Cricetulus griseus: one gene and its partner. The protein of the gene in region 2 purifies or fractionates together with the protein of the main gene of each other region. This does not show direct contact. Links are inferred from orthologs where the notes say so. Each region holds a gene or a part of one and is shown on either strand. Other genes may lie near its edges.

Region 1 (5,081 bases), about 57 Mb from region 2:
ACCGAAAAGAGGGTGTGTACGTGCCAAGGTCTGTGCCCACAATTTCTTCGAATTCGCAGAGGCTTTTAGCAGCATTTTGTTAACAAGCTTTAGTGTGCTGGGGAATAATACCCCCACCCCTCCAACCGCTGGGGAGTAAAACCTCGCAAATGCTAAGCACAAGATCAACCCGGAGAGTCTTGGAGGATTTTCTTTTGTACACCAAATATTGTTCGGGGTAGGCAGAAGTCCCCAAACTCAGAAATGCTGACACTGGAGGCTTTGGAAAGAGAACGTACAGAGTGGGGGTGGGGAGTTAATCAACAGACCTCCATTTCTGACAGGACAAGGGCAGCAAGAAGCAGGTACTTCAGGGAGCAAGGCGTGTGTGTGTGCGTGTGTGTTGGGGGTGGGAGTAGTCACCTGGGCCAGGTGTGTGTTGGGTGTTTGGGGGGCAGGTACTTCAGGGAGCAAGGCGTGTGTGTGTGTGTGTGTGTTGTGTGTGTGTGTGTGTGTGTGTGTGTGTGTGTGTGTGGTGGGGGTGGGGGTAGTCACCTGGGCCAGGTGTCCGCACGCCCGAAGCAAAAGGGAGGGGTAGAGAGCGTGCGGCTTGTCTTGCAGCGAGAAAGCAGATGCCTGCGGGATGCTCGCAGAGGTCTGTAGCGGGCTCATGGTCGCCTCCTACTTCCTGCGCCCTGGTCGCCTACGAGCCACTCTGGACATCCCCCTCCTCTCTGCCCGGAGCCAGCGTGGCGCCTGCCTTCTACCTTGTCCCGCCGCCTGGGGTCGCAGCCCTGTGGGAACAGGACAGTTGGAACGCCGTAGGCACTGCCCCCACCTTCCCGGGGGCCTTCCTCCCGGCCCGGGCGCGCATCCACGCCCCACCCGGAGTCTGCAACTTGGCTCCTGGGAGTTACCTGCCGGGGGAAGTCACAGTCCGCAGTTTGGACTCTAACCGGTAGATCCTACGGGGCCCAAAGCCACATTCCTAGGGGAGGGGTCCTCCGACCTAGAGGGTCGCGGATCACATTACCCAGCGAGGGGAGACGGCGTGAGGCTGAGTAGACTGGGGGTAAAAGTTGCATTTAGCTTAAACCTTCCCAAACCCCAATCGCGCTTCGCCGGCGGGTTGACTAGGCGGCGTTCGCGGAGTTCCTGGAATCCGGCGGCCCCAGAGTGGCTTCCCAGGATAGAGGCACTGTCCCCGCGCGCGGGTGCGACGTCCGTGGCGGATGCCCCGGGGTGGGAAGCGCGAACGTTAGCAAGGACCCGGAGCTGGGGGACCGCTCGCAGCCGTGCTCATGCTTGCGTCTTTGCATCCCTGCATGCATCCATGCATCCGCCAGCGGCTCGCACGCCACCCGCGCCCAGGACACCCCGCGGTGATTGAATGCAGAAGTGGGGCGTCTGCGTGCCAGGGCAGGATCGCGGCGGGGCAGACAGCAGCTCGAGTCGGGGGTAGGGGGAGACCCGGGCAGGGAGAAAAGAGAGCACCCCAAAGGCACAGTTGGAAATCCCGGGGCGCGCGCTCGGGGGAGGGGGGGGATATGTTCCCCGCGAAGTCCCGCAGGCGCTGAAGGGGGCCGGGCGGGCCTCTGGGGCCAACTTTCCGGAGGGAGGTGCGGCCGGAGGGGGCGGCGCCGGCGGCAGGAGGCGGGAGTCGGGGGCCGAGGGGGGGAGTCACTTTAAAGGCTCTTTCTTACCCATAATGCTTTGTGGGGACGTTGACAAGTGGATCCAAGATGGCGTAGAAAGTAATGACAGGTAAGTCCTGACTTCCCCGTTCTCCGCTGCCCGGGTCGCTTCAGGAGCCTCCAGAGCCATCCGGGAAGAGGCCTGGACTCCCCTCGGGCGCTCCGGGCCCCGGACAGCGCGGCCCCGGGGACAGCGGGGGGTCCCGACGGCCGGCGGCAGGGCCTGGGGAGCGGGGCTCTCTCTGAGGCGAGGCCCGGACGCTGGAGCTGTTTACTGCTCCTTCCCCTCCTCAGTCTCCTTTCCCTTCCGCTGGGGGGCTGAGGCGCCAGCCGTCCAGGCGGCGACCCGGGGGTCCGTGCACACGCCCGAGGTTCGGGGCGACCCGGGAGCCCGCGCGAGGGTGCTCGGGCACGGGCCGCCCCGGAGTCCCCGCACGCCCAGCGCCCCCGGGGTCGCGGCTTAGGGTGGGGAGCGGGCGGCCTCCCAAGCCGCGCGCGGTGCAGCCCTCCGGGTTAGCACTTCCACCTGGGGTGGGGCGGCGACCCCGGGGAAGGGGACACTACGAAAAGTGGGTCAGGGGGGCGCCCCAGAGCCCATGATTCACTGTGGTCCCCCCTCTCCCCGCCCCCCTCCTGGGACGTGCGTGGCCCGTGAGCACATCTACGAAAACAAAACCACTATCTCTTCTTCCTGGAGAAAGTGGCCTCCAAAGGCCGGCTTCTCTCTCTCTCTCTCTCTGCCTCTGTGTGTGTGTCTCTCTCTCCCTCTTTCCAAGGGCTGGGACGCCCAGTCTTGGGAACTTTGATTTCTCTTCCCCAAACAATTTGAGTCTTGTGCCCCCTGGGCTTTGCAGAGGGTCCTTTCAGACAGGGCTGGAAGCCAGAGTCTTCAGATTCCTTTTGGGTTGGGAACCTTGTAAGTTTTTGTTGAACTCAGAAATTGGCATTCTTTCTCCCTTGCAAACTACACTTTTCAGGCAAGCCATTAATATAATCAAAAGTGTAGCTCCAGAGATAGTGGATTCCCGGAGCAGGGGAAGAAGGGAGACGTTATCTGGCCTAGTTTGTTCTTGGTTTTGCCCTCTTCACTCATATGCATAGCCTTTCCCCCATCCTTTACTTTTCCTCCCCCTTTTATTTTTGAAAGCAAGATTAATCAGTGCTGAAAAGATGACTTTATTATGTTTAAGATTTAAGAACATTTGTAATCTGTTACTGAAAGAAAATATTTTCAATTTTAGGTAAAAGAAACAGTCCTCCTCCTCCAAAGCTTCATACTGTACAATTTTTGTTAACTTTTTCCACTTGATATCTCCATGTTCTTTTACCTCAGGGTGATAAAATGTTTGCTACTGATAATGCCTCCAACTGGTATTGTATAGATATTCTGCTTTTCTGTTTGCCCCAGGAATTGGATGAAGTAATTGATCACTAATGAACTACCGTGCTGGTGAGATGGGCAAGGTGAGACTGAAGTTAAAAACTATGCCCTGTTTTCCCTCTTTATTGTCACCAACTCAAGGGTAAGACAGCCGCTACTTTCCAAGCAGATCAGTCAGCCAATTGGGATACAGGCAGGGATAGAGTTAGCAAAGTTGTACCGTCCTTTTTAGTGGCTCCAATTTATTCACACATAGTAGAGCTTGTCTAGAGCCAAATGTTATTTGTGGCTATCCTTGATCAGTGTCTTCTCCAGGAGTAATTATAGTTTGCCTCTTCAAATTTCCTTGTGTAACTTTAATTGGATGGTCTGGTTTTTATCTGTTTTGATGTCCACACTGAGTATAAGCACTTGAGTAGATAAAGTTCACACACCCACAGTTTGTGGGACTTTTGGGAAGAAAGACTGTTTCCATTGGAAATAATAATTTTCAGCAAGCAAATCACTTCTGTTATTATTTTTGAATTTAGTTTTTTTGTTTTGTGGTGCTGGTATATACGAGACCTGTGTGTTTACACGTAGTAGACAAGTGCAGAATGATTGAGCTACATCCCCAGCCCCTTTTATTTTCTGAAAAACTGAATAGTAAATGTCAGATAGAACTTTGAAACAGAAATGATAGTGTTAAATTCTGTGTTGCTTATTGGGGATGTGACTACTCTGTCATCATTTCTGGTTCTATATGGTGTGTAAGTTCAAATTATTGTTTATCCCATGGACTTTTTTTTTTCTGGACCGGTCTTTACTACTGACCTTGATCCCAAGTGCTGGGATGCTACCATGCCTGGCTTACTGACGTGGATTTAAAGGACTTATATGTTAGTGAACAGTTTGTACCGTGTACCAGGGAGAAGAAATAAGCTTGCTGTTTATAGTTTTCAACCAGTTTCTCAAATTAAGATACCTCTGGTTGCTTTAGAACAGTAGTTCTCAACCTGTGGGTCCAGATCCCTGTGGGGGTCCAGATCCCTGTGGGGGTCCAGATCCCTGTGGGGGTGCAGATCCCTGTGGGGGTCCAGATCCCTGTGGGGGTGCAGATCCCTGTGGGGTGCATAACAGATATCCTACATGTCAGATATTTACATTACAGTTCCTAACAGTAGCAAAATTAGTGCTATGAAGTAGCAATGAAATAATACTGTTTTTGAGACAGGGTTTCTCTGTGGCTTTGGAGTCTGCCCCGGAACTTACTCTATAGACTAGGCTGGCCTTGACCTTCCAGAGAACAGCCTGCCTCTGCCTCCTGAGTCCTGAGATTAAAGTGTGTGCCACTGATGCTTAGCTTTTTTGGGCAGGGGCAATGAAATAATTTTATGGTTGGGATTGCCACAACATGAGGAACTGTATTAAGGGTTGCCCCATTAGGAAGGTTGAGAGCTACTGTTGTAGGAAAATAATAACTATGGCCAATTGATTTATTGCAGATTTGTTTATTATTTTAACCCCTTAACATATTTGGCTATCTAGATTTTGAAATACAAACTTTTCATATTACATTTTTTATTTTTTTTAAAGAATAAGCTGTGTTCCCCAATCCCTCAAGATTGATGCATATAGTTGATAGTTTGCCTTTGAAATGCAACAAAAGGAGTATGGACTTGGGAAAGGGAAGTGGACATAGACCAAGATTCTTTTAGCACATAACACTTCTATTTGTGTTGAAACACAGCTGAGCTTATTTTAATTTTAATTTTTGGCAGAGCAAGTACAGACTTTTTTTTTTTTTTGGTTTTTCAAGATAGGGTTTCTCTGTGTAGCTTTGGAGCCTATCCTGGCACTCACTCTGGAGACCAGGATAGCCTCGAACTCACAGAGATCCGCGTGCCTCTGCCTCCTGAGTGCTGGGATTAAAGGCGTGCGCCACCAATGCCCGGCTGCAAGTACAGACTTTTAAATTTATTTTGATTATGTGGATGGAGGCATATTCTTGTCTTAGACCTCCCAGTTGTAACTCTTCCTCTTGTCTT
Region 2 (3,948 bases):
GGGCAGGCCCTTACACATGAGCAAATACCCAGATGTGTCCCATAACTTCCCTAAGGGTTAGGGGGTTTTAAAATCTCTACCTACCTCCTGGAAGTATGTTTAAGTACTTGGGGGCTACAAGCCAGGCAGAGCAGTGATGACTCCAACATGCCATCTGAGGTGCAGTGCTGAAATCCAGAGGCTGTTTCTGAGCTGTGCCTGGCACTGTGCTCCATGAGGAGGCATCCTAGGACTCAAATATGAATCAGCAGGCTTGACAAATGACTTTACCAACTGTTCTGTTGATCCAGAAGTATAGGTTTGCCAGAGAGTGCTGTTGCCCCACTTAGGGTAGTTATCTGTAGTCCTCTTACTTACCTTGCATCTTCTGTAGGATGAGAGTCATTCAGAATGGGTGTCTTGTGTCCGCTTCTCCCCGAACAGTAGCAACCCTATCATCGTCTCCTGTGGATGGGACAAGCTGGTCAAGGTGAGCTTCAACAATGGCCTGGCCCCATTAGAAATCTAAAAATGTTCCCATTCCTCTGAGATGGTAATCACTCCGGTTTGGAATGTTTTGCAAATTAAATTACCTTGGCTTTGGCTCTTGATGCTTTATCTAAGTTCATTAGGGATTGAGTTTGTTTTTGAGGCCAGATCTCACTCTGTATCTCTGATAGGCCTGTGTCAGCCACTCAAATATTGGGATTACATGCGCTTGCATAAAAACCTGTTATGAGTTACCTTTAAGGAAGATGCTATTCTTTCTTGTGGCCATAATCCTGGTCACTCACCTTTTTCCCTAGGTATGGAACTTGGCTAACTGCAAGCTGAAGACCAACCACATTGGCCACACTGGCTATCTGAACACAGTGACAGTCTCTCCAGATGGATCCCTCTGTGCTTCTGGAGGCAAGGTATTTAGGGGACCTCTGATCTTTATTTATGGAGAACACTTTCATCTGATAGCATGTACCAGTTAAAAGATGAGCTTAAAATGTGGGAATGTTTCTAAGGATTATCATAAAATATATAGAAAGGCATACCAAAGAAATTTTCCTTTAAAACTAAGTTGGTAGCTGAATAGATGGCTCTGGGATTAAGAGCACTGACTGTTCTCCCAGAGGTCCTGAGTTCAATTCCTAACAACTACATGGTGGCTCAAGACCATCTAATAAGATCTAGTGTCCTCTTCTGGATTAGGGCTACACACAGGCAAAACACACTGTATACATAAATAAAAGTAAGTTGATATACGTATTATACATTACAGGGAAGGTCTTAGGACCATGAACGCTGACACTTCAACCATTAGCTTTATCTATCCTAACTCACCATTTATGTCCGTCCAGGATGGCCAGGCTATGCTGTGGGATCTCAATGAAGGCAAGCACCTTTACACACTAGATGGTGGGGACATCATCAATGCCTTGTGCTTCAGCCCCAACCGCTACTGGCTCTGTGCTGCCACAGGCCCCAGTATCAAGATTTGGGTAAGTGATCTGTTGTGCACCACATTGATTTCAAGCTTTATTGGTAGATTCATCATTCAGCTGCTGTCAGTTGACAAGTTGGGATTATTTTTTCTTAACACTTAGCAGCACTGGGCAACATTTGACTAATAAAAGGGAATGCCCATATTTGGCAATTTGTTGAGTCATTTGGGCCAAAGTAATTCTCCTTTGAGAGGCTATTTTGTCAGCATATGTGGTATCTACTCACTAGATGACCATTAACAGTTACAGCCACACACCATGAAAGATAAGCAAAAATAATCCCAGTAGTGTGTAGCAGGTAGTAGAGCACTTAGCTAATGCATGAGAGGCATAAATCAAATCCCTACCACATGTGCCACTAGTATCAACTAAAAGACTGGGGATTCTATGTGGTATTTTTATGTTTTGGACAGTGTGTAACCCAGGCTGACCTTACATTTATGAGGAGTCATCTTGACTAAGTTACATGGTCAGATCTAGAACTTGGCAGTCTGCCTCAGCCTTCCAAGTAGCTCCAATTGTATAACTAAACCACTGGCCCTCTAAATGATTGTGGGTTGCTAGGGTGGGGGTTGATATTTCATATGTCCTTGAAAGAAAAAATAATCTGGAAATCTGAATTAGAAATAGGCTTTCCAAGTAGTTCATTACTGTCTGTGGTACAGGATAACTGGCCCATAGCCAGGGAATTCTGTCTCCTCCATAGTTTGAGGAATAAACTGTTTTAGGTGTCAAGCAAAGGCCCTTTAATTTGCCATCTTAAGGTCTCCATTTAAAAAAAAAAAAGCTATGGTATGACAACATACTACAGACCATAAAAGTCCATTGCATAATTGTTATGGGCATCCTTACCTGATTTTGGTTTGTTTTCAGGATTTGGAGGGCAAGATCATTGTAGATGAATTGAAGCAGGAAGTTATCAGCACCAGCAGCAAGGCAGAGCCACCCCAGTGTACCTCCCTGGCATGGTCTGCTGATGGCCAGGTAAGTACTTGATTCTGCCAACTCAGCTTCCAGCTTACTCTTCATATCACGGGCATAAGACTAATATATTAGCAGGGCAGTGGTGGCGCACACCTTTAATCCCAGCACTCGTGAGGCAGAGGCAGGAGGATCTCTGTGAGTTCAAGGCCAGCCTGGTCTACAGAGCTAGTTCCAGGACAGCCTCCAAAGCCATAGAGAAACCCTGTCTCGAAAAAAAACAAACAAACAAAAAGACTATTATATTAACAAATGAAATGATAAAGGGTGACTAGTTACAGAAAATACTATAATCTATCTGGGGAATGATTCATGATTTGGACCTCTAGAAGAGGCTTCAAAAGTATAGCAAGCTGTTTCTTCTGGGAATGTGTGCTGAGCATGTCTTAGACAAGTTCTTTGTTTGGGGGCCATACAATTCATTGTTGGGCATGACCCTGTTGCCATTCTCTTTTACAGACTCTGTTTGCCGGTTACACAGACAACCTGGTTCGAGTGTGGCAAGTGACTATTGGCACCCGCTAAAAGTTTATGACAGAGTCTTAGAAATAAAGTGGCTTTCTGAAATCTTTTCAGTTATGGTTTGTCTAGTGAGCAAGTTCCTAACTTGCCCGCCTACCCACCCTTCTCCCATTTGTTGTGTTTTGCTTGCATACATGTCTATGCCAGGGAATATTAGGGTGATGGGAAACTTTGGGACATTCAACATGGCACTGTCTGTCCTAAACTCAGGCCCACCTATGTTTGCCTTCCTCAATGGTGTATCTATCCTTCTTGGTTGCACTTCATTCTAGCAATAGCAGCAGAATAGTTTTTTCCAAGGCAGGGTTTCTCTGCCCAGTTTGAATTTAGCCCCATCTACTTGGATCTACGTATAACATTTAGTCCTTACTAAGTAAGCTACATGAATAAGGACCTCCCATTCCTCACTGAAACAGGAAACCCTAGGAATGCATAAAGAACCAGAAATTCAGGGTTGATTGTATGCTCCTGACAGCTAAGAAGCAGTTCCAGGGCTTCTATGGGAAAGTACTTCATGAAGCAAAATTGCTGCTTCAAAAGAAAGACTCCACAACAGCAGCAAATAAACACTTTATTATCTGCAACACAACCCACCTTTTACCCCAAGAACATGAATTGACCTCAGCCACAAGCAGAGGACAAAAGCTGTTAGGTGACAGAAGGCAAGGGGTTACTAGAAAAATAGATTATACCCAAGGCTCTCCCAAGGATCCAGACCCCTGTCCCAAGCTCCTTAACAGGGCTTACCAAATGGAACTACAAGGTGCTGAGAGGCCAGAAACTGAAATTCACTGAGGGGAAAAGAGCCTGGCAGTGAAGACTTGGAGGGGTTAGGTGTGAGGAGCTGGGCTCCTAAATAAAAACTGTACGACAGAGAGAAAATAATTTATTGGGTGATATAATGGTGTGCAGTGTCACGTTGACCATTCCAGATCTTACTGAAGCTAAATTCTGGCCAGTCTATGGAGGT

Evidence for each region. The genes of interacting proteins can lie anywhere in the genome.
Region 1: the proteins of Rack1 (region 2) and Helz purify together in Homo sapiens (affinity purification with mass spectrometry; 3 studies listed by BioGRID and IntAct, counting the BioPlex papers as one, with this or other methods). This does not show direct contact. The link is inferred for Cricetulus griseus from reciprocal best matches to the Homo sapiens genes RACK1 and HELZ.

The regions. Positions count from the first base shown.
Region 1 is NC_048600.1:120,530,505-120,535,585, forward strand, and holds the start of Helz (probable helicase with zinc finger domain), read left to right. Parts: upstream 1-1,658; 5' UTR 1,659-1,743; intron 1,744-3,081; 5' UTR 3,082-3,137; intron 3,138-5,081. UniProt on the Homo sapiens protein: May act as a helicase that plays a role in RNA metabolism in multiple tissues and organs within the developing embryo.
Region 2 is NC_048600.1:63,460,893-63,464,840, forward strand, and holds the end of Rack1 (receptor of activated protein C kinase 1), read left to right. Parts: intron 1-127; exon of another isoform or gene 128-195; intron 196-373; coding exon 374-469; intron 470-785; coding exon 786-896; intron 897-1,331; coding exon 1,332-1,472; intron 1,473-2,348; coding exon 2,349-2,459; intron 2,460-2,915; coding exon 2,916-2,981; 3' UTR 2,982-3,027; downstream 3,028-3,948. UniProt on the Homo sapiens protein: Scaffolding protein involved in the recruitment, assembly and/or regulation of a variety of signaling molecules. Interacts with a wide variety of proteins and plays a role in many cellular processes.